Linked DNA regions of Lonchura striata. The main gene of each other region encodes a partner of the protein of the gene in region 2 in a complex. Links are inferred from orthologs where the notes say so. Each region holds a gene or a part of one and is shown on either strand. Other genes may lie near its edges.

Region 1 (8,026 bases), on a different chromosome or scaffold from region 2:
TTTGTAAAAGTTTATTTGTTTTACACACACACACTCACCTTGGTCTATTAAATTCAGAACTCCTACGATGGTATTCCCTTTCTTTGTTCCACCCTTTGCAGCTGCAGAACAGCATGATATTCATAAGAAAATAATGGGGAAAAAAAAAAAACCTTGATTTGGTTTTCAAACTTTAACCCACTAAAATTGTTTCCTGTTGGATTTTTTTTTTTTTTATCATTGGAATCCAAACTCTCCAGGACTTATATATGCCATGTTTCACATAAGGGCAGCTCAGGACCTTACAGAATTTGGACTTTTATACTCAGCTTTTTCATTATTGTTTGCAGATGAGGTAGTCTTCAAAACAGAAAGTAAAAATGTAATTGGGACCAGGCTGTTTCCAACTGTCCAGCTGCTCAGCTGTGACCAAAGCACTAAGCCTGGCTGACCCCTGTGAAAACAGATTATGAAATGCAAAAACCAACTGACTATCTTTGAAATTTGCACACAAGAACTGCTCCAGATAAGGATCACACTATCTCTCTTGAAATAGGTTTATAGAAATATATTGAGGAAGATTACTCTGGAATTTAAAAAATACCCAGCTTTACTCTGGTAGCATCTTTTTACTCAAATACAAATAGTACCATGGAACTGCAGGTGTTACATAAGGAATGAAGGAGAAACACTTGGGCAGGGATTCCAAAACAATTACCTGTATAAAAAAAACGACTTTGTTAAAAGTGGTCAAGCCCTTACCTCTTCTTACCTCAGTTTCCATACATAGAAGTATACCAAGAAAATTTGGTATGATGGTAAATACAACGCTATTTCTTAGGTGCTTAGATTCCACTGTTAGTAGGTGTCTTACAAGTATCTACAGCTCTGCTAAGCCAAATCAGAGGATTTCACCTGACAGCTGGTGTTTCCAGCTCTTACCCATTCTGGATGTTATTGCACTTCACAGAACTGATGACATGTCTGTGTACCAAGTACCTCGGCTGATGCATTCTTTCCCCTCCACACTCTGTAAATTCAGCTTCTCCTACAATCACTGAGTGAACACACTGCCTTTTTGTCCATCTCACTAAGGATGCACAACACAACAAGTAGTTATGCATAGACATAATGAGTCAAAACTCCTAGGCAGAAAGATAAAGAAAGTAGTTGCCTGTGGTTACAGAACTACAGTCCCACACCCCACCCAGATGGGCTTCCCACTGCCTTCAGTGAGCTTAGCACTGAGGAATAGTGGTTTCACCTTAATGACAGAGGTCACAGCTCTGTGCTTAATTAAAAAAAAAAAAATAAGAATGACCATTCAATTAAAATAAATATTCTTACAAAATAACTATTTTTTAAACTGTGTTTGTATTTCCAAATAAGCAATTTAGTTTTCTACCAATTTAGGCTTTTCTTATAAAAAAACCTGAGTTCACATCCTAAAACTCTAAAGTTTTTCTACTAGGAAACTAGTCTCATTTAATTAGTTCTTGATTATATCTACCCTTTCCAATTCCAAGAAAAAGTAATGTATTATCAGTTAACAGATATTCTTAAAATCTTTTGTGTCTGCGTTATTCAATTAGGACTAGAACTGGCACAGTTAAAAATGTCTAGCACAATTGATTTATCTGTGCCTCTCTGGTGAAAAATGTCCTGTAGCTTCCTGAGCCACAGCGACACTGTCCTTCACTCTAGTAAATCTCTGAAAACAAATCTCCAGTGGATAATTCTACTTTGCAAAAATCACAGCAACATTGCCTCCCCATACAAAAAGATTATTGCCTATTTCCCTAAGTTCAAGACTGCATAAATATTTCACATGTCAATACAAGTGTTGGTTGTCTTTTCAGCTGAGGAATAACAGAAATCTGAGCAACTAAGGTAAGATTTTAGAAGTCCTCAAGCCACAGAGAATCAGAAATTTGTGCATGTAGCATGTCATTCTGTTGACAGACCAGCTAAGGATGATGCTACTGAGCACTGTAGAAACTGTCTATTTGTTTGTGGGTCTTTTCATAGAAATATTGCAGTGTTTAGCAGTTTTGGAAGGGGTCAAAAATAACAAAGTTCTGAAGTCCTCAGATATATCTTCTAAAGGTACCAGGCTTGAATTTTTGTTACTTAAGTGTGACTCACAGGAAATCAACTACATCTCTTAGCTTACTGTTGAGTGAAGATGATCAGAGCTGATTTCTGGCAACTTCAGATGACTGCAACACATTAAATATGAGAGCCCTAAGCAATCTACCTGACAAGGAACAATAGTTTTTCCAGCAGCCAAGGCAGACTAAGTGAAAGATCTGAAGGATATCTGTGCTTGATAGCTACGTGCTTGAAACTCAACTACTCTAACAGGAATCAGCCCTTCATTCTTCAGGAAAAAACCTTTCCCAATAGCCAAACACACCTCCCCAGAATCCGTGTGGGATCCAAGATGGAAATCCTGACTAAGGCAAGAAGTTAGAGATTGTTTACCCCGGGGCCTGGACTCCTCTCAGAGATGTCGGCGCGATGCTGAAGGGGACCACCGGCCCCGCTGCCCGCCAGGCGCGGCTGGAACGCTCTCGCTGCGAAGCCGCCGCTATGCTCGGGATGGAGAGCCCCGGAGGGAAAGTGATCCCCGCTGCGTCCCGACCCGCCGGCAAGGGAGGCCCGGAGACCCCCTCCCAAAGGGATTCTCTAGCCAAAGAAGGGGCGCTCCCACCTTCCCCGAACTTCAGCCCCACGTCCCGGCTTGAAGCATTGCCCTCGGAGACTGCGCACCCGCGAGGATGCTCAGCCCGTCCCGGTGCAGCAGCCCCGGAGCGGTAGCGGCGAGCCCCACCGCACACTGCCGGGACGCCCCCGGCCAGCTCCGCCAGCCACTTACCCCAGAGCAGCAGGACGGGGAGCTGCTGCCGGCGGCTGCCCTGCGCCTCCATCCCGGCGCGGGCGGCAGCGGCCGCGGAGGACGGAGCCCACATGGGGCGGCCAGCTCGCAGCCGCAGAAGGCCCGAACTGGCTTCAGGCCGCCCGCAGGGGAGGCTCTTCATGCCTCGGCGTCCAGCCCCGGGCGGCGGCGGCAGCGTGGGCGGGGGCGCAGGGGAGCAGCTCCTCCGCCCCGGGTGCTTCCAGCAGGGCGGAAACGGCGGCCGGGCCGGGCCGGGCCGGGCGGAACGGGACAGGACAGGGACAGGAGCAGGGGCAAGCACGTGCGAGTGTGCTGTGTGTGCGGCCACAGAAGCGCGGCTGTGCCTCCTGCTCCTCCAACAACCACGGCAGGAGCGATGCCGCTCCCAGCCATCGGTCTGTGTGGCTGCCTAGAGGAAAGGCACCTACCCCCAGGGTGACAGTTCTGGTTGTAACTGTCTGAGGGATTCAGGGATTCTTCACCCCTTGCCCTGGGAGCCAGATCAGTTGCTTTCATCCTATCACAACATCCTGGCGGTGGGGGTGAAGGCATGAGATGCTGGAAGGCCACCTGTGTTAGCTCACTTGCAGCCATTGCACGGCATGTGTTGGCATGCTCAGTATTTACAGCTGAATATGGGGAGTGAGCTTGTCTGACCCCACACAGACCCAGAGCAGCCTGGAGTTCTAAGATGCTACGTGTATGTGTATTTTTATGTTGCAATTTCATCTTTGCCTGTCTCTTTTCAGAGATGGTACAGCTCCTGATTTTCATCAATATTTAAAAGCTGTGTTCCTAGAGCTCTCTAGGAAATTAGCATATCCATCGAGAAACACCAGACTGGGAAGCTGCTAAAGGCGACTTTTCTTACCTAAAAATAGTAGTATTGCTCAGTAACGAGGACTCAGACTGTTCTTCTGGGTACATGGACACTCCACCTCAATAATGGCCTTCTAGTAGAACATTAAATCACTGTCATTATTAAAGGTCAAATGTACCATCAAATTTCAAAAGAGATTTTCAAGCCACACACAGGAACAAAGAGTACTTTTAGGTATCAGTCAGGTTGTTAACATTGACTTTGTACACTTGCCTTGCACAGTGCTCCAAACACTTTTGGAGACTGGGACCCCAAAATGTGCCTTTGTAACCACTGTTTTCAGTACACAACCTTTGTCTGATTTATTCTGTTGTCTAGGCTGAAGGAAATGGAGAACTTCAGAAACCACAGAGAAGGTTGGGAATACAATGTTGAAACAGCTCTGTAGACATTTAAGTGTGTCACTGAGAGTTAACCTCCTATCCCTTGTGTGCCACTTCTTCCACTTAGCTGGAAGCAAAGCTTGTAAAACACCATAAACCATAAATAATCCGTAGCTCAGGGAGATCATCCTTCAGCACAGGGGCTACCATTTCTGCTTTGTAAAGAGTGTTTGCAATCTGCCCCTGCCAGAAGAAGCTGCAGCAAAGTGACAAGCATAAAGGCACATACACCACAGACTAGTTATACCATCTATACATTATGTGTAATATGGATAATTCGTGCCTGCAGGGTGATAGGTGAAATGAAGAAGGTCTTTGCCTTTATTAGTGTTCAGCTCTTTATTAAAAAGTCAGCTCGGCAGGGGGGGGTGTTGTAGCTTCTTCTGGTAGCTGTAGGGTGAGAAGGCGTGCAGAGTCTGTCCCTGGAGTCTCCGTGGCACACTGGTAGCCAGAAGTGAAGAGGTGTCCAGTCTGTATCTGAAGTCCCAGGAGACTGTCCTCTTTCCTTTCCTCCTGGTACACTGGTAGTCACAGGGTAGGGGGAGGATGTGCAGAGCCTGCTGCCGAAATCCTGAAATCCGGCAGCAGCTATCCCTCTCCTGCCCTCCTGGTAACACCAGGTAAAGTGTCTGTTCTCCTTGTGCCTGCTTCCCACAGTCCAATCCAATCTGGTCCTCTGCAGGTTATGGTGACAGGTCAAACACAGACTAGGGATGGGGTTCCCTTTTCCCCAACCAGCACACCCATCCAGCCCCCTCCACTGTGCCCCTCTTTTTCATTTTGGGGTACTTTTCATCCCCAAAACCCCCTCCCATGATTCCACTGGCTTATTTTGCATCCTAGTCCTAGTTTGGGTGGGGGTGTAGGTGATTCCCAGGAGCGATTAGCTAATTAACATTTCAATGTCCATACTTAGCTTAAGCCAAAGTGTCCCAGCCAGGCTGTTTTGTTCATAACAATAGGTATGTAATGTTTCATACTACTGAAATTATTGGCATAAAACATACGAGCCAGAGCTAGGGGGTTGCTTCACATATGTTGAAACTATAGCTGATAAGACTTCATTTACAAGTTAATACACATAGGTCCTTAGGTTCGAGATGGGTCATTTCTCAAGGTGATCTAGGAACTCCCAGGCAATGATTGTCCTGGCTACTACCCAAGATTGAGATCTCTGGAACCACCAAAAGATACATCTCAATACTGAGTTCCCTTTAACTCCATCAAGGATGTACTTCCTGGACAAGGATTGCTTCCTGGACTCCTGTTTGTTCAACTCAGCACGGAGGAAAGAGACTTTATAAAATTGTGGGACTTTGAATGGAAAGAAAAGGCTGATTGCCAAAATCCTGGCCTCGAGCAAAATAAACCATATAAAATCTGCTTGCACATGACGGTCAGTGTGAAACATAGGGGTATGCTGTGTTGGTCAAACCTGTGTCTCACCCAGCACCGATCCCAGTCTCAGCACTGTCCTTTTCTTTGTAGCTGGCTCAGATAGAATTTGATCGCTAAATAATTTTTTTTTTTTTAATTTGGCTAGATTAATTTTTACCTATAACATATAGCATTCTTTCTAACAGTAAGATCTTGATTTCCATCACAAATTCCATTTCTCGCAAATCTGAAAATACAGTTAGTATTTTCAATAATTTAGATTGATTTCCAGGAGGCTAAGCATCATGGTTTATTGCAATATTATATGTTTAAAATGTTTTAAAAGTATAGTATATTATACAGTATAAAGGCAATGCTTTTTGTAACACACCTGGAGATAATGGTGTCGGGTCTTTTTGCATCAATTGCATTTGTTTTCTTCTCCTGTTTCAGATTAAAAACTGGCAAAGTGAGTGTTACTTCTTCCAACTCTCAAGATTCAGGAAGCACTTACCATTTTGTGCTTGCAGCACATAGTTTGAAGGTGCAAACAGTATCTCTGAGGTAGAAAAAATTGATAGAATTTATAGGTAAATGCACTAATGCAGCATGTTGCATTGTGTTATGTGTATTTTGGATAATTCATGCTTATAAAAAGAAATATATATAGAATATGTTATGTTGGTCAGAAATATTCTTAAAAGGTTTTAAGCATGCAAGCCAGAGTTGGGAGATTGCTTCAAGATATGTCAAAACCGCTGACAAGAGAGAGGAGGACCTCATTTGCAAATTAATGAACGTAGCAAGGTGATCCGAGGAACTCCGAAGCGATGAATACTTCATAAATACATCGGAAAGATACATCTCAATGCCACGTTCCAGTAACTCGACGATGGACTTACATCACGCTTTGGATACAGTTTTGTTCAGCTTGACCTGGAGAAAAGAAACTATGTGAATATACTACTCTGAAAGGAAGAAAATCTTGATCGCAGAAAACTCTGCCTCGGGCAGAATAAACTGTATAAGAACCGCTGGGACAGGACAATCAGTGTGAACATAGGAGACCCTATGCTGTAGCGGTTGGACCTATGTCTCACCCAGTGCCGATCCCGGGCTCGGCTCTGTTCTTTCGATTGTGGCTGTCTTAGACCAAATCTTGATCGCTGAATAAAAATCTGATTTATTAATTATTAATTATTAATTAGGCTTGATAATTTTTACCTATAACAATTGGATCACAAGCCAGCTATGGTAGGTGATATCTTCAGCAACGTGTTCTAAAATGAGTAAGTCTGATTCACATTTGAACAAAACTGTGACAGCAGTAGAACAGTCCTCAAGATGGTTCAAAAAACTTAAGCAGTTTGCAGTTTTTCAGTAAGACTGACCACTTCCCCCAACTCCCATTGTATTGCAGTAATGCGAAGAGATTCACTCCAAAATGACTGCAAACAACCTTTTTTGTTCTGCAGATCTGCTTTGGTAGCATCATGTACCTACACTAGCAGCAGAAATCCAACTATAAATGGAAATCCGGCTATAAATGCCCTTTGCTATACAGAGCTCTGAATCCCGTCCTCAACACAGACACTAACAGTGACCTCAGAACCAGTCTTTTTTAATTTCCAGACATATAACTTCCAGAGATCACACTGACACCTTCTTAGGTACCCTGAAGACAGTGCTGCAATCACATTACTTCAGAATTTTTCTAAAATGCTTACATCTGCTAACAAGACATTGGGTAAAAGAAAATACAGCAACAGACATGTAGATAGTTGTTTCAGTATAGCAAGTTCCTGAGGAGTTCATGGTGAGAAGAGATAGAAGAATTCAAGCTGCCCAGGACAAGTATTATTGTCAGCACTACAGGTCTCAGAATGGTGAAGAATAAGGTAATAAACTTTCTTGCTCCAGAGTTTAACTGATTCAACAGAAACTGAAAAAATAATAAAATAAATTGAGAAAAAGCTGAAGACATTACACTATGGAAAACAACATTGCCTTTCCTTGTCACTTCATGAATTTGCCCAGAGAGAGAGACTGCTTGCCCATATGGAGGGACTTTACCCAGTGTCTGATGAAAGCTTTCTTCACCTTTTCCTAGCACAGCAATTTTGTATAAAAGACGCATTAAGATTTCAAGACCACGTTTTAATGGGATTGCTTGCTGGACCGAGGTTTGAAAAAATAGGTTCAGTTTGCCTGTGGTTTGAAACTAAAGTAGGTCATCCTTCCTATTTAGTGCTCCTAGAAACATGCTGTTCCTGCTCCAGAATTAAAAAAAAAAAAAAAAAAAAGTATCTGCAGGTTATTAAGATAATTCCTCTCTTTTTACCATCAAGATAGGAAATGTAAAAACGTGATAAACCACACTGTCCAGTTAAAAAACAACTTCTTCCTGTGACTCAAAGGCCCCACTGTGGTATATTTACTGTACGTCATACCGAAATTTAGTTTACATCGGTCAGATCTGATCAGCTGAAACTCTTTATGCCTATATTA
Region 2 (6,913 bases):
ATGGGCTGCCAGCATTAAAGCTTACATAATTGCTAGATTCCATGATGCAGCTCAAAGGGAGGCAGAGCTGAAGTGACTGCATTAAACTAAAACATCTAGGGCTTTCATGTAAAAGACAAGAAAACTCATTAAGCTGTCCCACCAAGAACATTGAAAAGGATTTGTAAGATTTGTGAGATTGATTAGATTACAAACTAGAATGATGAACTTTCTAAAACAGAATGTTTTGAAATGAGACAATAGATATAAAATGTTAGGAAAGAAAAGATTAATTTGTATGCAGATTATATTGTGATTCCTCTGTCATTTCATGACAGTGTCTCTCCTTCAGGCTCCCTCTTGTTCCAGCAACTTTTCCATGGCTGCCTTGATTCAACATCTACAAAACCCACATGGGAAAAAAGATCTAGGGAAAAAAAAAATCATCCTTTCTGTCCCAGCAGAAGCCTGGCTGTGTGGCTGCTCTCCATTTTATAAACTTCCTTCTCTCTGAGCTCTACTGCAGACTAACGGGGTCTCCTCACTGAGAGGGATCAGCTGCTCCCAGGACTGTGAGACTCCTCCAGGACTGCTGTAGCTAGGATAGGACTGACAGGTACTCTCCCATCCTCTCATACCCCACTTAACATTGTACTGGAGAAACTTCTTGTGCTCCTGTGGTATGTCTTGTAATAACAGCAATTAAGGGATCCAGTGAGGTCTCTGTTGTGTCATTGTTGAGAGAGGAGGGAAATGGTACAGCTAGCATCTCAAGAGTACCTCTCTTTCAACTGACTAAGAAAACATTTCATAGTGATTCATCTGTCAGGCCTGTTACTTGGTGCAGTGAGAATCAAGACTGCAGTGTCACAGACTGTAAAGACCTGATTATAATCAAGATTTGATTAGAGAGTGCAGGCTGCTCACAGCTGTGTGTGCAGTTTGGCCACCACACCAGCTATCCAGCTGTTTTTGTTTAGCTCAACAGTACATAGAGATATTTTTTTCCCATAAAAAGTCCAAACTGCAACGTGAAATGATCTTCAACATAATAAGATTCTTTTGTGCCCTTCTGCTTAATTCACTTCTTTTTGCTTCTGTACCTCCCATAGCTGCAGAACAATCAAATCCAATAAGAAAAAAAGATCTACGCATTTCCCAAAGACAACTAAAGGATGAGCAAGGGCATAATTGAGGCACAACACAGGAAAAGGTATGGGTCAGGTGCCAGAGTGGTGAGGCAGTCAGAAGATGAGGCTGTGCTAAGGTGCTACGGTGACTGTACAGTTCCACTTGACTAGAGTCCATTCATCCAGTCATTTCATTCCAGAATTTTCTCCAGTTGCTTTGGGAGGGGAAATGCAGAGTGCTGTGAAATTTCTCCCACGCTGTTTGGTAACAGCCAACAAGCTGAAGCAGTTTCACAGAGGTTTTGATGAGTTTCCATATATCATCTGATCTGCAATAACTTGGTATGTGCTCTTAATCCACACAAATGATATCAAAATATTTTTGAGAAAAAATTAGTGTCCTTTTGTTAATTCTCTTTTTTCCTCACATTTGTACTGATATGCCCTCCTTTTTCTCATTTTTATTTTCTACCTCCTGCTTGAGTTTTATTTATGGTTCACTTGAGCCAGAATTTCTCCCTGCATCTCTAATCCCCTTACTTTCTCAAAGCTATAGTTATTTTTTTATTCACATTTTGAGCATGTTTCCAGCTTCTACCTTCTGAAACTTAGTGAAGGAGACCTAAGGGTTGCGTTTCCTAACCAGATGTTTTCAATGGTGTCTCCACAGAAAGAGCGGGCTTCATGTGAAGCAGAGCTGTATGCGTGTGGTTAGGGGGTGTTCACACAGGGCAATTAATTCCCGCATTAATTAATTCCCGAATTAATTAAGAGGGTAAATCCTTGTGCAGGTAAATCCTGCGTTTATGCCCCGTGCGGCCGCGAGAGGGCGCCAGCGGCGCGGCGAGCGCTGGGCGGGACGGCTCTGCTGGAAAAGGGGGAATTCCCTGGATTTATCTTCTTCTCTCGCTTTTAAGCCTTTTTCGGTCCCACTCCAGGGAGGTTTGCACATTTAGGTCCCCTTGAACTGCTCCTTCCTTAGCTGTCGGCAAGAAGGGCACCTGTACGGGCGTGATTTACGCAGCCAGCGACGGGGAGATGCAGGGGAGCCGCCACTCTCAGAAGTGCAAGCTGCAACAACGGAGGGGTCTCGGGAATCTGTAGGGTATGAGTAAGTAAGTTTTAATGTTATTTAATCAGTAGAATATAAAACATTGTAAAAATAAACTCCAAAACCCCCCCGAGCGAGCAACCAAAAAAAACCCCCACCAACAGAAATGCTCACACAAAAATCCAGTGACTTTGACAAGCCAAATGAAGCATGGCCTGTGTAATACGTGTTTAGCTAATTCAGGTGCCTGTTTTAGAGCTGTGAGCTTGGCTGGAATACATGGATTATTCTCTAAACTGGAGTGTGTAATGTACCCTGTTGCAATCTTCAACCCAGACCTAACTGGTTTAAAGCAATGCTACCAGGCTCATTCCTGGTGAAATTCCTGTACCTGAGATGACACCACTTCTTTTAGAGAAGTTAATTTCCATTGCTGTTCAGAATCAGAGCTCATCCACAGTTTATATGTGTTTACATTGCCTAGAGGTTCAGAGTGACAGTCCTTAGTTCTTCACTGATTATAAAACTCAGACATTCTCCTGTTGATGAGAGATGAAGCACCAGTTCTCACATGTGCCAAATGAGTATCCAAGCCTGCTTTTTTGGTAATCCTGGAGTGGGATTTCACAAATTGTATTGTCTAGGGACCATTTGGATTGAAAGTATGCCTGGCCTTCTTTTCCCTCTTCCAATTTTTCCTGACCCTGGGTTTGGGCTGGGTTTTATTGAAGTTTTTTGTTTGTTTTTATGTTTATATTTCCCCCTTAGCTTTTTGTTCCTTGCTGTTTTCAATGCCCAGGTAAATTCTTTCATTCAGTTCACAGTGTGTTCCACAAATTATTCTGCTGGAGGAAAAGAAAAGTGGATAAGTGACAGGTAGCAAGAAACAAGCAGAATATTTTATGTTGTTTTATGAGCAAATTCAGTGGTATAATTTTGATAAAACCTTGTGACAGTGTGACTTTTGGGAGGTTCTTGTGGTGTTCCCTAAGGAGTACTGGTGTTACAGGCGTTCTTATAATTTCAGTTTGATGCTCCATGAACTCCCCATTTGTTCAGCATAGTTTTCCTGTGCATACAGTAACTGGTTATTGGTTTAGAGGGCACAGATTCTGTCCATAGTACAGGGAATTGATTGTATAAAAAATATTTGTAGTTTCTGGTACAATATTCTTTGAAGCTAGTGGAAAGACTGCTATCCATTTTGTTTTGTCCTGTGTCATGGCAGTTTTCAAACCATTCATACTTGTGCTTTCACATCACCAGTGTTTAGAAAAAGATAGCGTAGAGATCAGCAGTAGCAATGTTCCTGTTGCTTTTTTTCCTATATACTTCTTGATAAGTCTTGATACTTCAAAGACTTATTTCTTTAATACTTTTTTTTTGTACCCAAGAAAAAAAATAGTAGCACTGTAAATTATGTGCCTGATTGTGATTGAAAAATTGAATCTGACCTGTGCAGCTGCTTTACGTCTGAGGAATAAAGGGAATTTCTGTGCAGAGCTTGTCAGCCCTTACGGTATGGGATGTCATGCAGAGCCGGTGGGTCAGGTCAGGCATACTGAGGAGCGATGCAGCTCTCGTGTGCTCTGAAACTAATCTGTTTCTATGGGTCTAGCTGGAGGAGGACGGCGAATCTCAGTGGCTCGATACGCGAAAGGACAGGTCCCGTGGTCTCCTCCTAGCAGCAGAGCGGCGAGCGAGCGTCTTGCGGGCGGAGCTGCGCCGGCCGGGGCCAGCCGGCAGCGCCGGGGCTCGGACGCCGCTGCGGAGCCCCGCTTCCCCGGGCCACGCCGTGCGGGAGAGCAAAGTGACTGCCGCGGCCGCAGGCGGGGTCGGGTGATGTAACAGGAAGCGCTGATGCTCGGCCGCCGCTCCGCGCTGCTCGGACACGCTCCCGCAGCAGCGCCGCTCCGCCGGGACAGCGCTCCGGATTGCGGAGCCCCGGGAGAGGCGGCCCCGCTCGCTCTGCCCCGCGGCGCTCTCTGCAAGCAGGGCTCGGTGAGTGGCTTCATTGGGATCCTCGTTCTGCCGCCGTGACACCGCAGCGGGCGGCGGGACCGCGGCTCTGCCCCGACCCCGGCGGGCGATGCGGTCTGCGCCCGCACAGCCTGCGAGGAAAACCTTCGCTCGTTTTTAGCGAGCGAGGTGTTGGGCTGATTTTATAACCGGCGGTGTTATGGTCTACGCTCGGTAGGATAGATAGAGATAAAATGCCCAAAGGTAGCGCTTTAAGGATTCTGCCTGAAACCTAATATTAACTAACCAAATCTCTGTCTTCACATCTGGAGAGAATTAGAGACTCGTTGGCTTGAAAAGGGTCCTTAAGACTAATTCAGTACAACTGCAGCTCTTTCAATAGAGGCTGAATTAGGTGATAAAGTGGTGTAGGTTTACTTACCGAGTATTTCTCTAAACTTATTCTACCAGAAAGAGGTCACACTTGAGTTGTTTCATAATTAGGTTTTGTGTTGTAATTACACAACTTAAAAGATAAAGCTACTGTTTTGTTTGGGCTTTCTGTTTGCTTGAGCAAAAGTTGGGTTGCTTTGAAGGCTGCACGCCTGCCGGCACGTTACTGTTTGAGGTTTTTGACCGCAAACACCGAGGTGATTTATTGACAGCTAAATGCCCACTTTTCCTTCCTTAGAGAAACTATTGAACGGTGGCAAGTGTGTGATGCCGTGCTTTCAATTGCCAGCTGATAGGCAGTTAACGTCTTGACACTCCTTAAGCTTTCCAAAACAGATGTGATACCCTCCCGTTTTACAAATGCGGTTGCAGTGCTGAGATTGGGAATTCTAGTCATTTGCTCGTGTGGTAAGAAAGGGAGCAATAGAACCAGGAAAATAAATCTTGTTAGGCTGTAAATCACACCTGGATTTGATCTACAACTAATCCTTCAGTTATCCATGCAGTTTATAAGAGAAGAGAATGAAATTGTTATAAAAATAACTGAGGGTTTTTTTTCTCTTTACCTTAATAAACTTACACCAGGGACCTTGGGGATGGACTTTGCTGTTCTTACAATTGTGCCAATGCAATCTTCCCACTCTTAATGTGCCTGCTGGGGATCTTGTCATTCCCTTACACTAGTAATGCTTCTAACAGTTGAAAACTCTGAATCTGAGGTCCTCTCGGTGCATGGGAAGGAGACACTCTAGATTAATATAAGACCACATCTGAAAACAGATGTGTTTTCTTTTAAAGTACATATGCTGTGGTACTATGTGAAATCCTTAGTTTTAAAAAGTTATCTGTATTAGCATGGTATTTTCTTCTCTAGTTTGCTTAAACTCTCATTATTTCACTGTATATAGAAGCAATCCCAAAGTCTTTATCCAACTTTGGGAATCTGCACAAAAGGCACTTGGTGACACTAAGTCAATAGAGATGGCACTTCACATAAACGGTGCTTATGTTAAATGACCAGTGCAGTGGGAACAACTGTCTTTAGAAGTATACCAGCTAAATGATTTAGATTCTTATTTTTTGTTCTTCATAGGCAACTGGTGTATGTTGAAGTGGGTCTGCCCACAGAAGATATGCCAGGCATGTGCATGTTTGCAGGCTGTATGTCAGAATCTATGTTGTTTGCAGGTTAAGCAAAGACAGGCGGGGCTGTCTTTGCTTAAGAAGAGTGTGACTGCATTTTTTACTGGACAAAACTGAGTACCTGATAGATTGCAGATTCAAGAATTGCTTTATGTGTGTCCTTTCAACTTCAAATGTTACTGCATACTGAATTTCTGATCATTTGGAGTCATTCTCTGCCTTAAGAGATATAGTACTTGTCCCTTTGAATAGGCTTTTCTTGATACAACACAACTGTTGAAACCCTGGCCCACTGAGAGCCAGTGGGAACTTTTCCACTGACTGTCAAAGGGCAAGACATTCCTAAATGTGGGTATTTTTCTGCTGAAGGAATTACACATAGATGGTCAGCCATCCAGGGACTTTACATTCTGCTGTCTGTTGGCAGCTGGTTTTTTTGGTAATTTCTGTAATTTTGGAGCACTTCAGTTGAAAAACATGATCTGAAAAACAGAACTGCATGTGTCTCGCTGGGTGACCGGTGCCTTACCTGGGTCAGTAAAGGGACTTACTCTGAAAAATACAGGATTATTCCATGGGCTGTCTGGGTATTGCAGTTCAGATTATAGACCAGGATACAACTGAGAGTAAAACTGAGGGAAGAAAGCACATTAACAAATTTCCTTTGACATCTATATAGTTACTAACTTGCATTTGAGGTAATCATCTTTCTCCAGTAGCATTCCTGGCTTGTGCAGGAACTTGGTAGGACTGGACTCACAGAAGTACATGAAGCCATGCAGTCATGCAATTAAAATGGGACCATGGTCATTTGGAAGAAATGATGTGTTTTATACCGATATGTTTTAATAATAACATGTATTCAGTGATATTTAAAAGAGGTGTATCTAGTCACTGCTATAGTAACTGTTGAACATAAGCTATCAAAGCCATTGAGGGAAGTTGTCCAATGAGAAGACAAGTCTACAGTTAGGAAAACAAAGCAGGATTTCTCCTTAAGAAGTTGTTCCCATCTGTTGCCAGTGTGTTTATGATGTTCTTGATTTGGTACCAAAGCCCCTTCAGTGCTTCTGAGCAGCTGCCACCCCTGTGGCACACACGCAGTGTTTGCCTTGCCTCGGTGCCCTGGCCAGCCCTGCTCTGCAAGCCTGGGCAGCTCTGTCACTGAGCTTCATGTGCAGCAGTTTGCTCAGCCAGG
Region 3 (7,293 bases), on a different chromosome or scaffold from region 2:
AGTGTGCAAGTGCAGCAAACTGGCTCCTGACGATCCACCCTGACCCAGCAAACAGTCCTTAGTGGTCTCAGAGACATTTCTGCTTCAAACACGCCGTTCTTACACCTCGTAGCTGGGACATGGTGATGCAGTGTCTTGCTGCTAAGCCAGATGCAAATTTGACAGGAAGCTTCAAGCAGTGTTCCCACTTGTGCCTTCTCAGCGGAGGGCAGAGGTTGACATCTCCTCGGAGTCATCAGCTTCGTGATTTAGCTGTTTTGAAGAAAATTACATGTGTAAAGATCCAATCCTAATACATTTCCTTGTTTAGGAGTAAAGAAAAATGTGTCATATATACATCAAAAAGATTGACCATACTTTTTGAGAAAGGGATGCACTCTGTGGGATCAGTCACTTCTTCTAGCTAGAAGTTAGGTAGGAATATCTTTGTTAAGTTGTGCATAGGCATTTTGGTTGTAGGACACAACAACAGTTCACAAAAACAAAGGATAATGTTTTGTACATCTAAACCTGGAGCGAAAGTTTAAAGACACTAAGAAATTACCTAATTTGGAGCTGAAATAGGACCTTAGAGTTATTGTATCTGCATCCATAAAAAGGTTCAATATGCAATAACAAATCTCAATAGTAAAATCTCACTGCCCTTTTAATACAGCACCTCTAGCAGGAGAGAATCACTCACACCTTTCCTTAATAAATGCTGGTTTAAGAGAAAGATGTTTATTTAGTGATTTTGCAATAATGATAGTGCTCACTTTACAGCCTTGCTCCTTCTGCCATCTAGATCAGGACAGCCAAAGTTTATAAGAAGTGGCACGTCTTAAATAAGAAATAGAAAGTTCAGTTGAGCTTATTTATTCACAGAATCACAGAATGGTTTGGGTCAGGAGGGATATTAAAGACATCCTGTTCCAACCACCCCCTGGCTACAGGCAGGGACACATTCCACTAGACCAGGTTGCTCAGACCCATCCAACCACACCACAAACACTTCCAGGGATGTGGCATCCACAACTTCTTTGGGCAACTTCCCTTAAGTATAGAGCAATCTTACATTCTTTTAGGACTTATGAAGAAGTGGAACAGATACAGTGTTTGTTCACCTAAATTCTAATGGAAAGTTAAACTGAATGTTCATCCAGACCACCATTCCTTCACTTGCAGCAGGGTAGCCTGGCTCCTCACAGGAGAAGCAGGGGCTCACAGAGGACACCAAGGCACAGGTCTCCACAAGCCCCTACTCATGTACTTAACCCAGGGGAACAATTGCAAGGCTGCAGCCTCTCCAAGAGCCTGAAAGCACTCAAGGGACAATGTTGCCACACTCACATTGTGCACTTGCCAACAACAAGGTGTGAACATCCACAATACCTTCTACATTTCACTCCTCCTTCAGGAAACAGGGAATTCACACTGCCTGCAGTCTCTAGCCAGTGTCACCCCAACCTATGCCAGAACAGGGGGCAGCCATGTCCCTGACCAGGTTTTCCCCTACCAATAGACATCCCCCACTGACTTTGGAGGCTTTGTTTGGTATAGTCAGAGCTGTCAGACATAAGGCTCACCAAAGCACCTCCAACAAGACTACCAAAATGGAATCACCCCTTTGTTGCTGTGCTCTTGGCACTGAGAGAACTGGCTGAGTACAGTAAGGTTTTTCTGTTTGGAGCTTGATTGAGGTTTTACATCCTTCAGGGGGTGCCATTCTCCTATTAGTATTATCTTTCTGCTGATTTCATGCAGCCTGAAATACAATCCAGTCTATTCATACTCATGGCATATGAATTCAGAACAATTTGTTTAAACAAAGTGAAACATGCAAAGGCACTTCCACTGGCTTCAAACAACAGTTTTCTTCCATAATCAGCACAGAATATTTGTCTCACAATGATTCCCCGTTGCTACCCACAGATTTTAGACCTTTTCTAATCAATCTCAACCTGAATAAAATTCTCTATTAACAGCAACTCATATTCACCATGTCCCTGGCAGAGCAGATACTTGTTGTAAAGTCTTCTGTATGGGAACACTAAGAGGTTGAATGGTACACCCAAGATAAGCAGTAAACAGGGGCTGGCTGCTCCTCCAGGCCAGCTTCCCATCACGGATGAGGCAGCATCCAGGAGACCCTGCACTTCACATCACACAGTGGTCTTGCTGAACTGCTTGGCATTGCCTCAGACTCACAGCTTGTGAATGATATTGCTGTGGAACATTCTGTGGAATTGTTTGTTTGTTTGTCTGTTTTTTAAGGAAATAACTATTTGTGGTATATTTTTTTTTTAAGTGGCCACTGTTACATCATAGTACCAATTTAGTGACTATTGCTCATTTCCAAACTGCATGAGAATGCAAGTTCATAGAAAGAACAAAATGAGCATCTGAACAAAGAACATGATGTTTTGTGGTAGATTTGAACAAGCTTTACCTGCTGACGCCCTTTCACAAATCATATCAGCAACAAACTGATCATCTATGTGTCAGAGTTTGCCACCTCATGAATTTACTTGAAGTAATTTTGTATCACTGAGATGATAGTTACAGTCAGTATGGAAGGCACATGAGAGTTGTGTTACTACTGTTATTAATGATCCTAAATCACTAGGAATTTTTTTCTTCATTGTTTGGCTTAGAGTATACAAAATACACTTTCCGTTTAAGCCAAGGATTTTAATGAGGGGGTTTCCAGCATTTGAGGAAATATGTGATTTTTTTTTTTTTTTTTTTTTTTTTTTTTACTGGAATGGGAGACTTAATTTGAGTCAAAGCAATGCTTATCACATAAAATCCTGCCTTCTCATTCGAGAAAAAAAAAAAAAAAAAGATTCTGTTTCAACTTCTGCTAATCAAGGAAATGCTTGAACCCGCACGAGCTTGAGCTGGCTCATGAGGTCTCTAAAATCCAGCCATCCCGGGATGATGCAGCTCTGGTCACGATCCGGTCCCGTTCTAGACCACTTATTCGCCTGTTTCTTCCTGCCTGTTTCCCCCCGAGCCTCTCGCTCTGCCCGTCGGTGCTCCGGAGCCGGTCCGAGGCGCGGGCACGGGGCTGCGGCTCCGCGGGGCTGCGGGCGGAAGGGACGGGGCGAGCCCCGCGGGCTGCCGGCGCTCCGGGGCCGCCGCCGCCTCCGCCCCGCGCTCGGCCGGGCAGGTGCGGCGGACCGCGGATCCGGGCTCGCCCGGCGGCCGGCTCCGGCCCGGGGCACCGGCCTCGCCCCGCGAGAGCCGCGCAGGGGGCTCGGGGCAGAGGGGCGGCCGGCTGGTGCCATGGGGAGCAGCGACAGGCAGTGCTGGCCCTCCCCGGCTGCCGGGCCAGCCTGTCCCGCACAGGTAGATGCCGGAGACAGAAAGCTCCAGATGTCTGGACGCTGCTGGGGAGCGGAGGGAGGGAGGGAAGAGAGCGCCTTAGACCGAGTGAGCCGTGCACAGGAAAGTTTCCGTCATCCCCCTTGCACATACCTCTCCGGGGTGTTGTTATATACCGCGGTTATCTAGAAAGGCACAGTCACGAGCACACACTCACTCACCTGACTTTTGAAACGCTTTGCTTGGGGCAAGATGCGAGAGGAACATCTCACCAGCTCATTCCTTCCCGCCGAAAGTCTCTCGCTGGCCAGGGGACCCTGGCGCCCCAGGGCGCAGATCTCCCGGGGCATTTCCCTCGGTCCCGCCGAATTTGCACTGCGACAAGTAAGCGGAGACACGGTCCCTCCGCTGCTGGCTTCCAGCACCCCCTGCGAAGCCGGACCTCTGCATTTCTGAAGCGTCACGGAGCAAAGGCGTTAAAGACTGTAAAAAACCCAACAACAAGGTGGTCAGACTAAGGTTTTGCTGCTGGCCAGCCAGGAGAACGCTGTAAGAGACCCCGATCCTGCACTGGTTCAGCTATCTGACCGGGAAGTAACCGCACTCACGTCCGTGAGGTTTGCGGATAGGGAATAGCACAAGGCACGGCGGATCTTCCCAGCGCCCGTAACCCCAGGCGCTTCAGTGACCCTGTGTTTGCCTGAAAGCAATGCCACTTGCTCTGTTCCAAGGCACAGAACTGGCCTCTAACCTTCATCTGCCAAAACCATTTGAGTCGTGATCTACTTGAATCGATCAAGTAAATAAAATTCATTTTGTTAGATAAAAAATGCACCCAAGTTGTCATAAATATTAATGATGCCCGATTTGCCACCTCATTACTTATGTAAAGAAGGCTGTCATTCCAGTTACTCATCATAAATTCACGTTGTCCAAATATGGGTTTATTTTTGGAACTTTGATATTTGATTGATTTTCATGGATTTTAGATTTAATTGAATCCGGTTTCCACTCCCCTGCTTTCACCCACCTGAAGCTAAGATGTCTAGAATGAGAAATTATGCTACAGACAGCATAAATATAATTATATTTTGACGGTTAAAATGTCTGTCCCCAGTAAAACAGGCTGAGGGGCTCATCGGATTTTGCAAGTTGTGCCATAACTCAGGATCCTAAAAGCTGCCGTTATAATTAACAAAATACCAAGGGGGTTGTTGAAGACAATTTTCAATAATCCTCTTTTCCCCCCTCCGTGTTGCCCCCAATCCAGGTCAGAATGCTTAAGGAGTGCTTGAAATGTGGGGGTGGGGGGTGCCAAAAGAGAGATCGCCCAGCCACGCCAAGGTCCACCCACTTCTCAGCGCTGCTCTATAAAAGCGAGCAGTGGAGCGCAGAGCTCGGCAGTGATTACTTCACACACACACACATACACACAAAGGAGGAGTTCTCTCTTCTCAGGAAACCCTGCGAGCTCGGATCGCTACTACAAAAACATTTGTCTCAGTGGATTATCCTCACTGTCAGGTAAGAGCTATTTTTTCCCCCCGTCCTTGGCAGCAACAAAAGATTCAGGGGAGGTGGAACGCAAGTAAAATTCTACTAAATTTGGACTGTTTGGAAGAGTTTGGAGTTATGCTGTGGAGTCTTGCACTGGCTCTTGGCATCAGCTGCAGTTCACAACATAAGATCCAGAACCAGTTGGTTCTGCGTGTGAATTGGGAAGAGGAGCTATCAGGGAATAAACTTCCCGGCATCAAAACACTTGCTGGAGTTTGGAAACGATGCGTCCGATAGCCAGCTCTCTCTGATCCTGTGGGTTTGCTAAATCCTAGTGCAAGCCGCTGGGGGTATTCTGGAAATCCTGCTGGTTTTCAGCCGCCTCTGCAACTAAACTCTCGACAAACGTAAACTTTGGAGGCTCTGTTATTTACTCTGTGATAAGTTGTTGAGCAAATATTAGCTTCTGGTTCATATCAGACACAAAGTCCCCGGTAGCCTGGGGGCTCTGCGAGGGAAGGAGGTCTCTGGAATCACCAGGAATAAAGGACAGTCCTTACTTGACTTTTGTTAGCAAGCATGCTTATAGTTCTGCCCTTTCCCTTCCAGCAGGAGCCCAGCCAGAATGAAACTACTTCACGTAGCCCTGCTCTATCTCGGCTCTGTGACTTTCTTCGGGGTGGATGCTGCAAGAGTGGACGTAGCGACAGAGTTCAAAAGAAAGTGAGTATCGGAGCGCGCCCTCCTGCCAGCGCCCCGCGCCGCGCGTCGAGCTGCCGAGCCCCCGCGCCTGGCTCCGGCAGCGATCACAGGCACTGGATTCCCTGCAGGAATTGCTCAGCTCCTTAAAGGCCTCGTGCCCTTTCAGGAAACTTTGCGGGGAGGAAAAAAAAAAAAAAAAAAGAAAAAAAAAAAAAAAAAGGAAAAAAAAATCTCGGCGCTGGCAAAGTTTTTCGCCTCTCGAATCTATTTGGTTTGGCTCCCGCCCCTGCAGACTTGCGATAACAGGCTCTCCTCTTCCCTTGTGCTCTTTCAGATGGACGAAATGGGCACTAAGCCGAGCCAAGCGGGACGTGAAGCCTGCGGGCTTGCTCCGAGGGCTGGGGGCAGCCGCCGACGTGCTGCCTCTCATACGCACCCAGGACGTGAAGGAGGATTCCCGAGTCTCGCCTTCCAGGTAAATTCCAGCCCTTCTTGGGTTCGGGCACTTGCTCGAGACATTGGAAAGTTTCGGGGTCCCCTCGTTTCCGGGTGTTTAGGGTTATTCTCGCTGAAGATCCTCCCCGCCCCAGAGGCAGGTCCTGTCCGGGCTGCGCATCGCGCTGAAAGCAGCCTCCCGCCTTCCTTTCCCTGCGCTCTTTAGCTGGCGGGAGATAGTAGCGCCTTTGCCGTGAAAGTCAGATATAAATAGTAACTCGAGCCCTGGATGCATAGGGAAAAGTAACAGCCGTAAAGCGGCGGGGCCTCTCCTCGCATGGGCAGCAGGCTGTGCTCCGCGCTCCCGCGGAGGGCACAGCCGGGACTGCTGGGCACCGTGGGGACGAGCCCGTCTCCAGCCTGGGGGCCCTCTGCCCTCCCCTCCCCTCGCCCACCGGGTCCCCTCCTCCGGGCCCCCACTGCGCTCTTCTCATGCGCTCTCTCTCTTCCTGCAGCAACCGGGAGGATGCTCACATCCGCGTCAAGCGCTACCGCCAGAGCATTAACAGATTCCCCCACTTCCAAACAAAGGCGTGCCGCTTCGGGACGTGCACGGTGCATTGGCTGGTCGACGAGCTCCACAGGGCGGCCGTCAACGATAGGAACGATGCCGCCCCTCCAAACAAGATCAGTCCTCAGGGCTACGGCCGCCGGCGACGCTCCCTGCCCGAGCGCCGCAGCCCAGCGCGCTCCCGCAGCTCCGGGCGGCGCCCGCGGACGCGCCGGGCGCAGCCCCTCGCCGCCGTCCTGGGAGTCTGAAGCGCCGCAAGACCCGGCCGAGGCCGCCTCGACGGATGGACTGAGATCCGCCAGGATTCGCGGAGAGCGTCTGCCCGGGCGGGACCCCGGCGCGCCCTCGGGGGAGCTGAGAAGGGCAGCGGACGCTGCGCCCCCCGCCCGCCACGGACTCTGGCCCTGCCGGGCCGGGCACCGCCGGCTCCGCAGCCGCCGCAGCCCGCGCCGCCAAGGCGCCGCCGCTGCTCCCGGGGGCCGGGCGGCCCTGGCCGCCCTCCCGCGCCCCGCCGCCCCGAGGAGGGGATGCTCAGGGGGGACCCGCCGGTGGGCGACGGGCCCCGGCCTCGCCCTCTGCCCCCGAGGGTCGGAGGGTGCGCGTCAGCCGTGGGCAAGGACAGGCCGCCCACATCTGCTCTACCCTCTGCGTTATGTGCACCCGGCAGGGAATCGGACACTCATTAGTCCCTGCGGGGACTGCGATATACTTGAACGTCACAGAGAGGAAAAGTGCAATTGTACGTGGTTTTTGTTAATTATAAGTGCGGTGTGTGTGGATCA
Region 4 (6,878 bases), about 6.9 Mb from region 2:
CATGCTGTAGAAGCACAGAGACAAGGGACTGAAACCATGAAGCAGCTTCATTAGAGGATTTGATGATTAAAAGCACCCAGCTCTGCAGGCAGTGTAATGGCAGATAGGGATGAAGATTCCCTGGTAATCACCCATCCATAGAGGAACTGACCTGGCAAACCCCAGCCGTGGCTGTATTTTAGAGCAGCAAAAGGCATTTAGCTATCTGAGTGAGCTAAAATGCTGCATTTCCCCTCTAATGGGTTTTTAATGCTCCTCTTGCTCCAACCCAGTGGTGCTTTAGGTCCTGGCTTGGTGCAGGCACCGTGCTGGGAAGGGCTCTGACCACAGCCACGGACTTGGGGCACAAATCTGCCCTGAACTTCCCCCCAAAAAATGACAGAGCCAGACTCTGCATCCAGTCAGGGAGGCAGAACAAAGCTGCCAGAGCAGAGCAGCAACTCCAGACTCCCACCCACGGCTTTCCAAGACATCCCTCAACTCTGCCACAACCCCAACGTTGATTTCTAGCCCTGTGGAAAGGTAAAAGATGCCAAGCCCATCTTTACCCATTATGAGGTCTCATTTCATTCCATCCAGGCCATGGCATTTGTATTTGCATTACTGCAGGAGGCTGCTGTGCCAGTGCTTCACTTAAACTCAGCATCGTTTCAGAGCTAATAAATGCAACCCTATTCCTCAAAGCCAAGAGGCTTCCTGACAACATCACACAGCCTCCAGCCAGCCCACCAAACCCACCTGCCACTGGTTCCTGCAGCAAAACAACTGGCACCTATGGGAGCAGTACAAGGAATTACAGGGTGGAGGCAATTTTGTTGTTCCTATTCACGTGCTTCTCTTTTGATGCATAGGAAGTTTTGAGTCCTCTCCATGCCAGAGATGCTCTCAAAGGAGGAGGAATGTTTTACTTTATTGTCAGGGATTTCTAACGAGGCATTCTGTAAATATTGGGGATTTTCTCAGAGAGGCAGCAGCCTTAAGTTCGAGTTTAAAGGGAGCTTTAGCTTTTGATTAAGGAGGCACTCAAACTGCAATCAGTGGCAGGCATTACCGAGTGTGCTTTGGCCTGAGAGAAGACACAAAGCACTTTAATTCCTGTTTTCCAGGAAAGGTCATACACACTGCCTAGAAGTTTTGTTTTTAAGAAAGCATCGTTTTCTATAGACTATGCAAACACAGTGCTGTACAGCACAGAGAAAAGATGCAGGGAATCAAGAAGGTATTAATGTTTTACCAACCTTATTTGCAACTGCCTCTTACCTCTCACAGTAATAGTTATCTACACCCAGAAAAAATCCAAGCAGCCCAGCACAGAGCTGTGTGTGGTGCCAATCATCACTGCCCCAGTAACAGCAAGAGCCTGCCTCATCCCCTCCTCCCTGAGCAGCCTCTGCAGGAAGCTGCAGTCAAAACCCAGAAAAAGCCCCAGTGGAAGTGGTTACCTCGGGGTACAGCTGGATCCCTGGCCTGCTGAATGAGACTTTTAGGATGACTGATTCCCTGGCTGCCATTGCTTTTTAAAGACTGCAGCCAGTGGTGAAATTTCTTAAAGCTCAAGCTTTAAAAGAAAGGTTTTTCTCTCAGACCCTTCTCTTTTTTTTAAAAAAAATCTCATTTTAAAATACCTGCATTGGTGCAAATCACCTTGATTTCTGAGCACTCAGTTGCCACTTGCAATTTCAGGGCAGCCCTGACTGTGTGCAGGGCCGTAAAAGCAGAAAGGTGTAAAAAGAGTAAGTGGGTCTTTTTGTTAAATGTGCTCAAAATACAAAATCCCAGGAGGAGAATGTAGTGAAAAACATCTACAGCACCAAGATGAGCTGTCACTGGGCACCTGGTTCACACAAGAGGCAGCATCTTCCTGCTCCTGAGCCCACTGGAGATGGAAAGGAGCAGCCTGGAGTACTTTTAAAAGTTACAGCTCCCCAGCAAAGAGAAGGGAGAGTCAGGAAAAGGAGACGGGGCAGGGAAAAAAGAGCAGAGAGAAATCCTAGCTAGCAGGAGATAGCGCTCTCTGCACAGGGCTGTGCAGCTTTTCCCTGCAACCCCGCAGGAAAATGTGCCTCGTCCAAGGGCACGGGCTGCTCCTGCCCTGCACAGCTGAGGAGTAGTAAATAGTTAATTACAGTAGTAAATAGTTAATTACATGGTACAGATCAGCACATCATGTGTAGCACGGCTCACTGCGTTACTCCCCAGGGTTTGGGGGGAAAAAACCAGCACAGGGGAAGGAAGGGAAAGAAGGAAAAATTTGTGCTGCCTCAGGAGCACCTTTTGTGGAAGATCAGCTTAAGATGAGGGGGTGCGGTTTCCCTTTGGAGCACCTTAAATAAACACACTTTTACACAGCACCAACACCATCACCACCCCTCCGAGCTTTTGTTGAGGGCACACAGGTGACAAGCACGGCACAAGTCTTTACCTGTTGCACTGAAATGCTAGGAGCAGCGAAGAAACCGAGGCATCCCATGGAAACAAGCACACAACTCCAGCGTTTCCAAGCCCTCCACCCGTAAACCCCAGAACATCCGACCTCAGCTCTTTGAAGAGGCACTTCTGGCTACCTCCTCTTCCCTGCGGCTCAGGAATGGGAAGACAGACTACAAAAGGCAGTAATTAAACATTTCCAACAAAAGGCACGGACCAGAGACAGAACCCGCCTCGGTCCAGCTCGCCTAGCAAGCAGAGAATCCCCCTACAAAGCAGGCTGCGTCCCACAGCATCACCACCTCACTGCTCCCGAGGCCAAGCGCCCTGGAATAATTTCTCCTTTTCCTTTCCCTACTGCTGTGTCGCCAGCGAAGCCAGGCTGGAGCCTGGCCGGGCTTCAGGGAGAGCGGTGGGAGCGCGGAGGAGGCGGCCGGGGATGCACGCCCGCGCCCGGCGCAGAGGGAGTCCCGGGGAGCCTGGCGCGGCGGCCCCGGGGAAGTTGTGCCGCGGCGGCCGCACTTACCCAGCACGAAGCAGAGGAAGCGCCGCGGGAGCAGGGCCATGGCCCCACGGCAGCCGCGGCTCCGCTGCCGGGGCCGGGCGGGCTCCGCGCCCGCGGCGCTGCCGGAGGGAGGGCGGGCCCGGGGCGGCCGCGGCCCCGCCCGGCTCCGCTCCGCTCTCCCGGCGGCAGCGCGGGCCGCAGGAGCGGGAGCGCTCCCGCGGGGACAGCGGGACGGAGATGGAGCCCGGGCTCTCCTTATCGCCCTCTCCCCCTCGCAGCCCACGGGCGAACAGTTCCGAAGGAAAGCACGGAGCAGCCCGCCTTCCTCAACCCCGGTTCCACCTCCAGCGAGGGGATTTCTCCCTAGCTAAAACATCCTGCCTTCTCCCCCTTTCTAGGGCTGAACATACACATGGAAGGCGATTTTAAGGAGGAATGTTTTGTGGTTTCCGCTTTAATGTTTATTGGAGTGTAGCACCGCTCCCGAGCTCCTACAGCTCCACCTGCAGCTCGCTGCGGAGCTGTGCCCCAGCAGCAGAGCCTCAGGTGCTCCGGATCGGGATACGCCCGTGCAGCAGGGCAGGACTCTGCTGCAGCGGGGTCACTGCCCCACAGCTCGCTTCTCTCACGCCTGAGGTCAGCTCTCCCTCTCGAAGGTCAATAAAAAAGGAACAGCAGAGTTTGCTAACTCGAGTCTTTCACATCGTGCACACTTTGCTTTCCCAAGAGGAACAAGACAGCCAGTTCCTCCTGAACTATTAGCACCCGCCTAATCACAGAGCCCGGCTTGGGGAACAACAGCTGCTGGTAATGAGGTGAAGAGCAAAGCCTGGGACTGCTTCCATCTTGTCAGAGCCCGAGACACCAAAGCCGCGGCCTCACCTGCAGCACTGGGACCAAGGGCACAGCACAGAGCCATGGCTCTGCCACGGGGACAGGCAGCAGAAGAGGTCTGCAAACAGCACAGCATTGACCCAACTCTTTTGAAGAACAAATTTTAACCTTTATTGACAGTAAACAAGGCTGTTATTTCCAGCAGCAATTGCAACAAAGTACAAACAAGAGACTGGGTTAGGTGATCTCTGAGCAGAATCACCTTTTCTTAAATGTATTATATACTTGTTTCTTACTGTGGAAAATGGGGATTCTTATTTCCCCATTATTTAGTAATGCCTTGGCCATTTCACACCTCCCTCATGTTAAAAATAAAAATTATTATAAGTCATCATCTCCCACACAAAACAACAGGGAAAAAATACTGTAATATGAACAATTTGGACTGCAGAGCCCACGCACCACTGGAAAACCAAATAATCACTCCATAAGGAAAGCACAACACATTTTGAGGCTGTTAAAACTGACTGAAAATGCTTCCAAGCATAAGATTTTAATGTTTTGGGGATGAGTTTCTGTCCCTATCTACAGTCCTGTGAAAGTCAGCCAGGAGATTAATCCGAAGACTTTTGCAGGAAATGTGGCAGTGGCGCTGCTAGGAGGTCCCTAAAGCAAGCAGAGCACCAAGCTGAGCAGGAGACTAAAGCAAGGATGGACACACATCCCTGGAACTCTGGGCTGTAATTTCAGCACCTTCAGCTTGCTGCAGCGCCACACGACCAAAAGCATCGGTGAGAGAAAATAACAAGACACAGTCTGATTCTGTCAGGTTTCCAGCCCAGAGCTGGCCCAGGCAGCAGACAGAAACCATCAGTGTTTGGATCCAGAGGGAGCCAGGGCTGGGATTTCGGGTGAGAGGCTACACAAGGCCTGGCCCTTAGGTGTCAGCTGTGCACTGAACGCAGACAGTGCCCTCCACACAGCTCAGCAGTGAGGCAGTCCAGCTGTTGGAATCCAAAATACAGGGGATTCTCAGGACTTTGGGCCTGTAAGCCAAAGCTCAGAATTAAACACAGGCTTTGATCTGACTTGGAAAAGTCTTCCAAACTTAGGTGCTAGAAGCGAGAATGTGGATTTATAGTTTAAAGAAGAGACACATTAAGAACAGAAAAGTTTACACTTTTGAAGTTTAAGATAGAGAAAAAATGTAAACAGTTACAAAGATAAACAAGGAGTTCAGAATGCAGTACTGTAGGTTTGTGTGTCATAACATGACTGACTAAGAAAGCTTACACTGTAGCATGAGTTCATAAGAGGAAATATTTAAAAATTGGGTCAAAAAACTTAAATATCCTTGTTGGCAGTGTTTTATTGGCCAATAAAGCTTTAAAAGGTCTTATAACTAAAGGTCTTGTGACCTTCTGAACTATGCACTAGTGAGTCAAACTCATCCTTTCTATCTATATAGAAGAAAAATAACCACATAACCTAAAAACTCAGAGGTCCTGTCTCTACCTTGTTCAAAATGCCTTCAAAAATCCCCATATTCAGTAATAAACCACCAGTACACCAAGATTTATAGAATGCAACCTGTTTTACAGCTCCCAGTCTTTATAAACCGCTGCTCCAGTGGATTCACCCCGGTACCTCCTGCAGGGCCAGAGGCTGCAATAATCTAGTCAGGCTGTAGGGTGGGTTTACTTCCTTTAGCCTGGAATATTCACCTCTTTCAGTGCTTCTGCTGCTGAGAACTCAGAATGTCAGAGGCCTTCTCCTCAATAGAACTGATGGCCATGCCACTCAGGACACCCTTGTTGATTCTCCTCACCTCCTGCACTGCGCCTGCAATTTCCTCTCTGTGGGAATGAAGGAAATAACCGTGAACATCATGTTTTGTGCCACACATTTAGTGATTGGTTAGCATGCGTATTGACTACATTACAAATTAGGGCGAAAAAGAAATCCAAATATCTCACCTGCTAAACCCTGGATGCCTTTTTTGGAGTCTCTTTATTAACTTGGTAAAGCTGCTCAAGTTCAGTGCGTAAGGAGAAACAAAGATACCAGATGGGTCCACAGAGGAACAAATGGATGTTTTCTGCAGGGAATTTTCCCCAGGATCCTAGAAGTGCATCAAAATAAGGGAAAAAAATGCATGGCTTAAGGGTTGTACGGGTAATAAAACACCTCTTTCCTACAAATAAATATAAAATCCTAGATCCACAGAATGGTTTGGGTTGCAAGGCACCTTAAAGCTCATCTTATTCCTGCTACTTTAAAGTAGATCCAATTACCATTTCCCAAAGGACCAGCATGTTTAAAGGGAAATCCCCAAAGACAGCAAATCTGTGGGGTTTATGTGAGCAACACCAGCAATTACTGAATTGCCCTTTACTCTCCAAGGACTAAGCTGAGCCAATACAAAACACTGTATGTATAGATTTCTTAGATTTATGCTGGAAAATCCAAGAGTTTCCTTCCCATCCATTACCCCAAAATCTTTCCTGTATAAAGCCACAGGACGCTTACATTAAAAAAACTGGTGTTGCAAGATGAAAAATGTAGTGCAAACGTGGAAATTCCAAACTGTCCTAGGATTCAGAAAAACCAGCTGGGGTGTCACAGTCTGATGCAGGGGCAAAAGAATGGTGCTTTCACTCTTCTGCCACATGACAGAAACTTATTACCAATATGTTACATATTTTCCTATCCTTACATAATTTTCTATCTATTAAATGTTACGTGACAGGAAGATTTAAAGCTTAGTCTGCCACACAAAGTAGTGTGAGCAATAATTACTTCCCTTCTGATTATCTCCAAGCAAACAATGTGCCAGCTGTTGAGTAGGTGATTTCAAATCAAGGCTCTTGGTAGTAAATGCAGAGTATGAAAGAAGCCTTAAAGAGGCAAGAAATTCCTCCTACAAATTAAGAACAGACCTACCTCAGGCACTGAGGTTTTTGGACCACCAACAGGAACAGAAGATTGTTCATTCCCACTCCCCACTGTCTTCACTTCTAGTAATAAATGTAAGAAAGTAAAGAGTGACTGTTCTTGAGCTGACATCTTCTCCATAGACTTTGGACAGCCTAGAGAGAAAACTTTAGAACAA

What was found. The genes of interacting proteins can lie anywhere in the genome.
Region 1: the proteins of CALCRL (region 2) and RAMP3 are in contact, whole or in part, in a cryo-EM structure (PDB 6UVA), measured with the Homo sapiens proteins. The link is inferred for Lonchura striata from reciprocal best matches to the Homo sapiens genes CALCRL and RAMP3. Residues at the interface, in NP_001258680.1 of Homo sapiens: Arg38, Asn39, Met42, Thr43, Gln45, Tyr46, Glu47, Tyr49, Gln50, Met53, Trp69, Asp70, Ser117, Arg119, Thr120, Phe228, Leu231, Ile235, His238, Thr239, Val243, Val245, Lys249, Gln250, His251, Trp254, Tyr255, Phe257, Leu258, Phe262; in NP_005847.1 of Homo sapiens: Trp56, Cys57, Leu59, Phe62, Ile63, Tyr66, Glu67, Thr70, Cys82, Tyr83, Pro85, Asn86, Pro87, Leu88, Gln90, Ile93, Thr94, His97, Arg98, Cys104, Thr105, Val106, Asp107, Arg108, His110, Leu111, Glu112, Asp113, Pro114, Val118.
Region 3: the proteins of CALCRL (region 2) and ADM are in contact, whole or in part, in a cryo-EM structure (PDB 6UUS), measured with the Homo sapiens proteins. The link is inferred for Lonchura striata from reciprocal best matches to the Homo sapiens genes CALCRL and ADM. Residues at the interface, in NP_001258680.1 of Homo sapiens: Val36, Thr37, Asp70, Gly71, Trp72, Asp90, Tyr91, Phe92, Gln93, Asp94, Phe95, Asp96, Pro97, His114, Ser117, Thr120, Trp121, Thr122, Tyr124, Thr125, Asn128, Val135, Ala138, Leu139, Leu141, Phe142, Thr145, Thr191, Leu195, Ala199; in NP_001115.1 of Homo sapiens: Cys110, Arg111, Phe112, Gly113, Thr114, Cys115, Thr116, Val117, Gln118, Lys119, Leu120, Ala121, His122, Gln123, Ile124, Tyr125, Gln126, Phe127, Thr128, Asp129, Lys130, Asp131, Lys132, Asp133, Asn134, Ala136, Pro137, Lys140, Ser142, Pro143.
Region 4: the proteins of CALCRL (region 2) and RAMP1 are in contact, whole or in part, in a cryo-EM structure (PDB 6E3Y), measured with the Homo sapiens proteins. The link is inferred for Lonchura striata from reciprocal best matches to the Homo sapiens genes CALCRL and RAMP1. Residues at the interface, in NP_001258680.1 of Homo sapiens: Asn39, Met42, Thr43, Gln45, Tyr46, Glu47, Tyr49, Gln50, Lys51, Ile52, Met53, Gln54, Thr68, Trp69, Asp70, Gly71, Arg113, Arg119, Thr120, Phe228, Leu231, Ile235, Thr239, Val243, Ala244, Gln250, Trp254, Tyr255, Leu258, Phe262; in NP_005846.1 of Homo sapiens: Trp59, Ile63, Tyr66, Arg67, Ala70, Phe83, Trp84, Pro85, Asp90, Phe93, Leu94, His97, Gly98, Phe101, Arg102, Cys104, Pro105, Ile106, Ser107, Gly108, Arg109, Ala110, Val111, Arg112, Asp113, Pro114, Ile118, Leu119, Phe122, Ile123.

The regions. Positions count from the first base shown.
Region 1 is NC_134603.1:82,685,457-82,693,482, reverse strand, and holds the start of RAMP3 (receptor activity-modifying protein 3), read right to left. Parts: upstream 3,035-8,026; 5' UTR 3,021-3,034; coding exon 2,858-3,020; intron 1-2,857. UniProt on the Homo sapiens protein: Accessory protein that interacts with and modulates the function of G-protein coupled receptors including calcitonin gene-related peptide type 1 receptor (CALCRL), calcitonin receptor (CALCR) and G-protein coupled estrogen receptor 1 (GPER1).
Region 2 is NC_134610.1:31,706,642-31,713,554, forward strand, and holds the start of CALCRL (calcitonin gene-related peptide type 1 receptor), read left to right. Parts: upstream 1-3,866; 5' UTR 3,867-3,970; intron 3,971-4,000; exon of another isoform or gene 4,001-4,161; intron 4,162-6,913. UniProt on the Homo sapiens protein: G protein-coupled receptor which specificity is determined by its interaction with receptor-activity-modifying proteins (RAMPs). Together with RAMP1, form the receptor complex for calcitonin-gene-related peptides CALCA/CGRP1 and CALCB/CGRP2.
Region 3 is NC_134608.1:51,968,034-51,975,326, forward strand, and holds ADM (pro-adrenomedullin), read left to right. Parts: upstream 1-4,639; 5' UTR 4,640-4,830; intron 4,831-5,412; 5' UTR 5,413-5,428; coding exon 5,429-5,526; intron 5,527-5,839; coding exon 5,840-5,980; intron 5,981-6,455; coding exon 6,456-6,759; downstream 6,760-7,293. UniProt on the Homo sapiens protein: Adrenomedullin/ADM and proadrenomedullin N-20 terminal peptide/PAMP are peptide hormones that act as potent hypotensive and vasodilatator agents. Numerous actions have been reported most related to the physiologic control of fluid and electrolyte homeostasis.
Region 4 is NC_134610.1:38,601,710-38,608,587, reverse strand, and holds the start of RAMP1 (receptor activity-modifying protein 1), read right to left. Parts: upstream 3,035-6,878; 5' UTR 2,994-3,034; coding exon 2,954-2,993; intron 1-2,953. UniProt on the Homo sapiens protein: Accessory protein that interacts with and modulates the function of G-protein coupled receptors including calcitonin gene-related peptide type 1 receptor (CALCRL) and calcitonin receptor (CALCR). Required for the transport of CALCRL to the plasma membrane.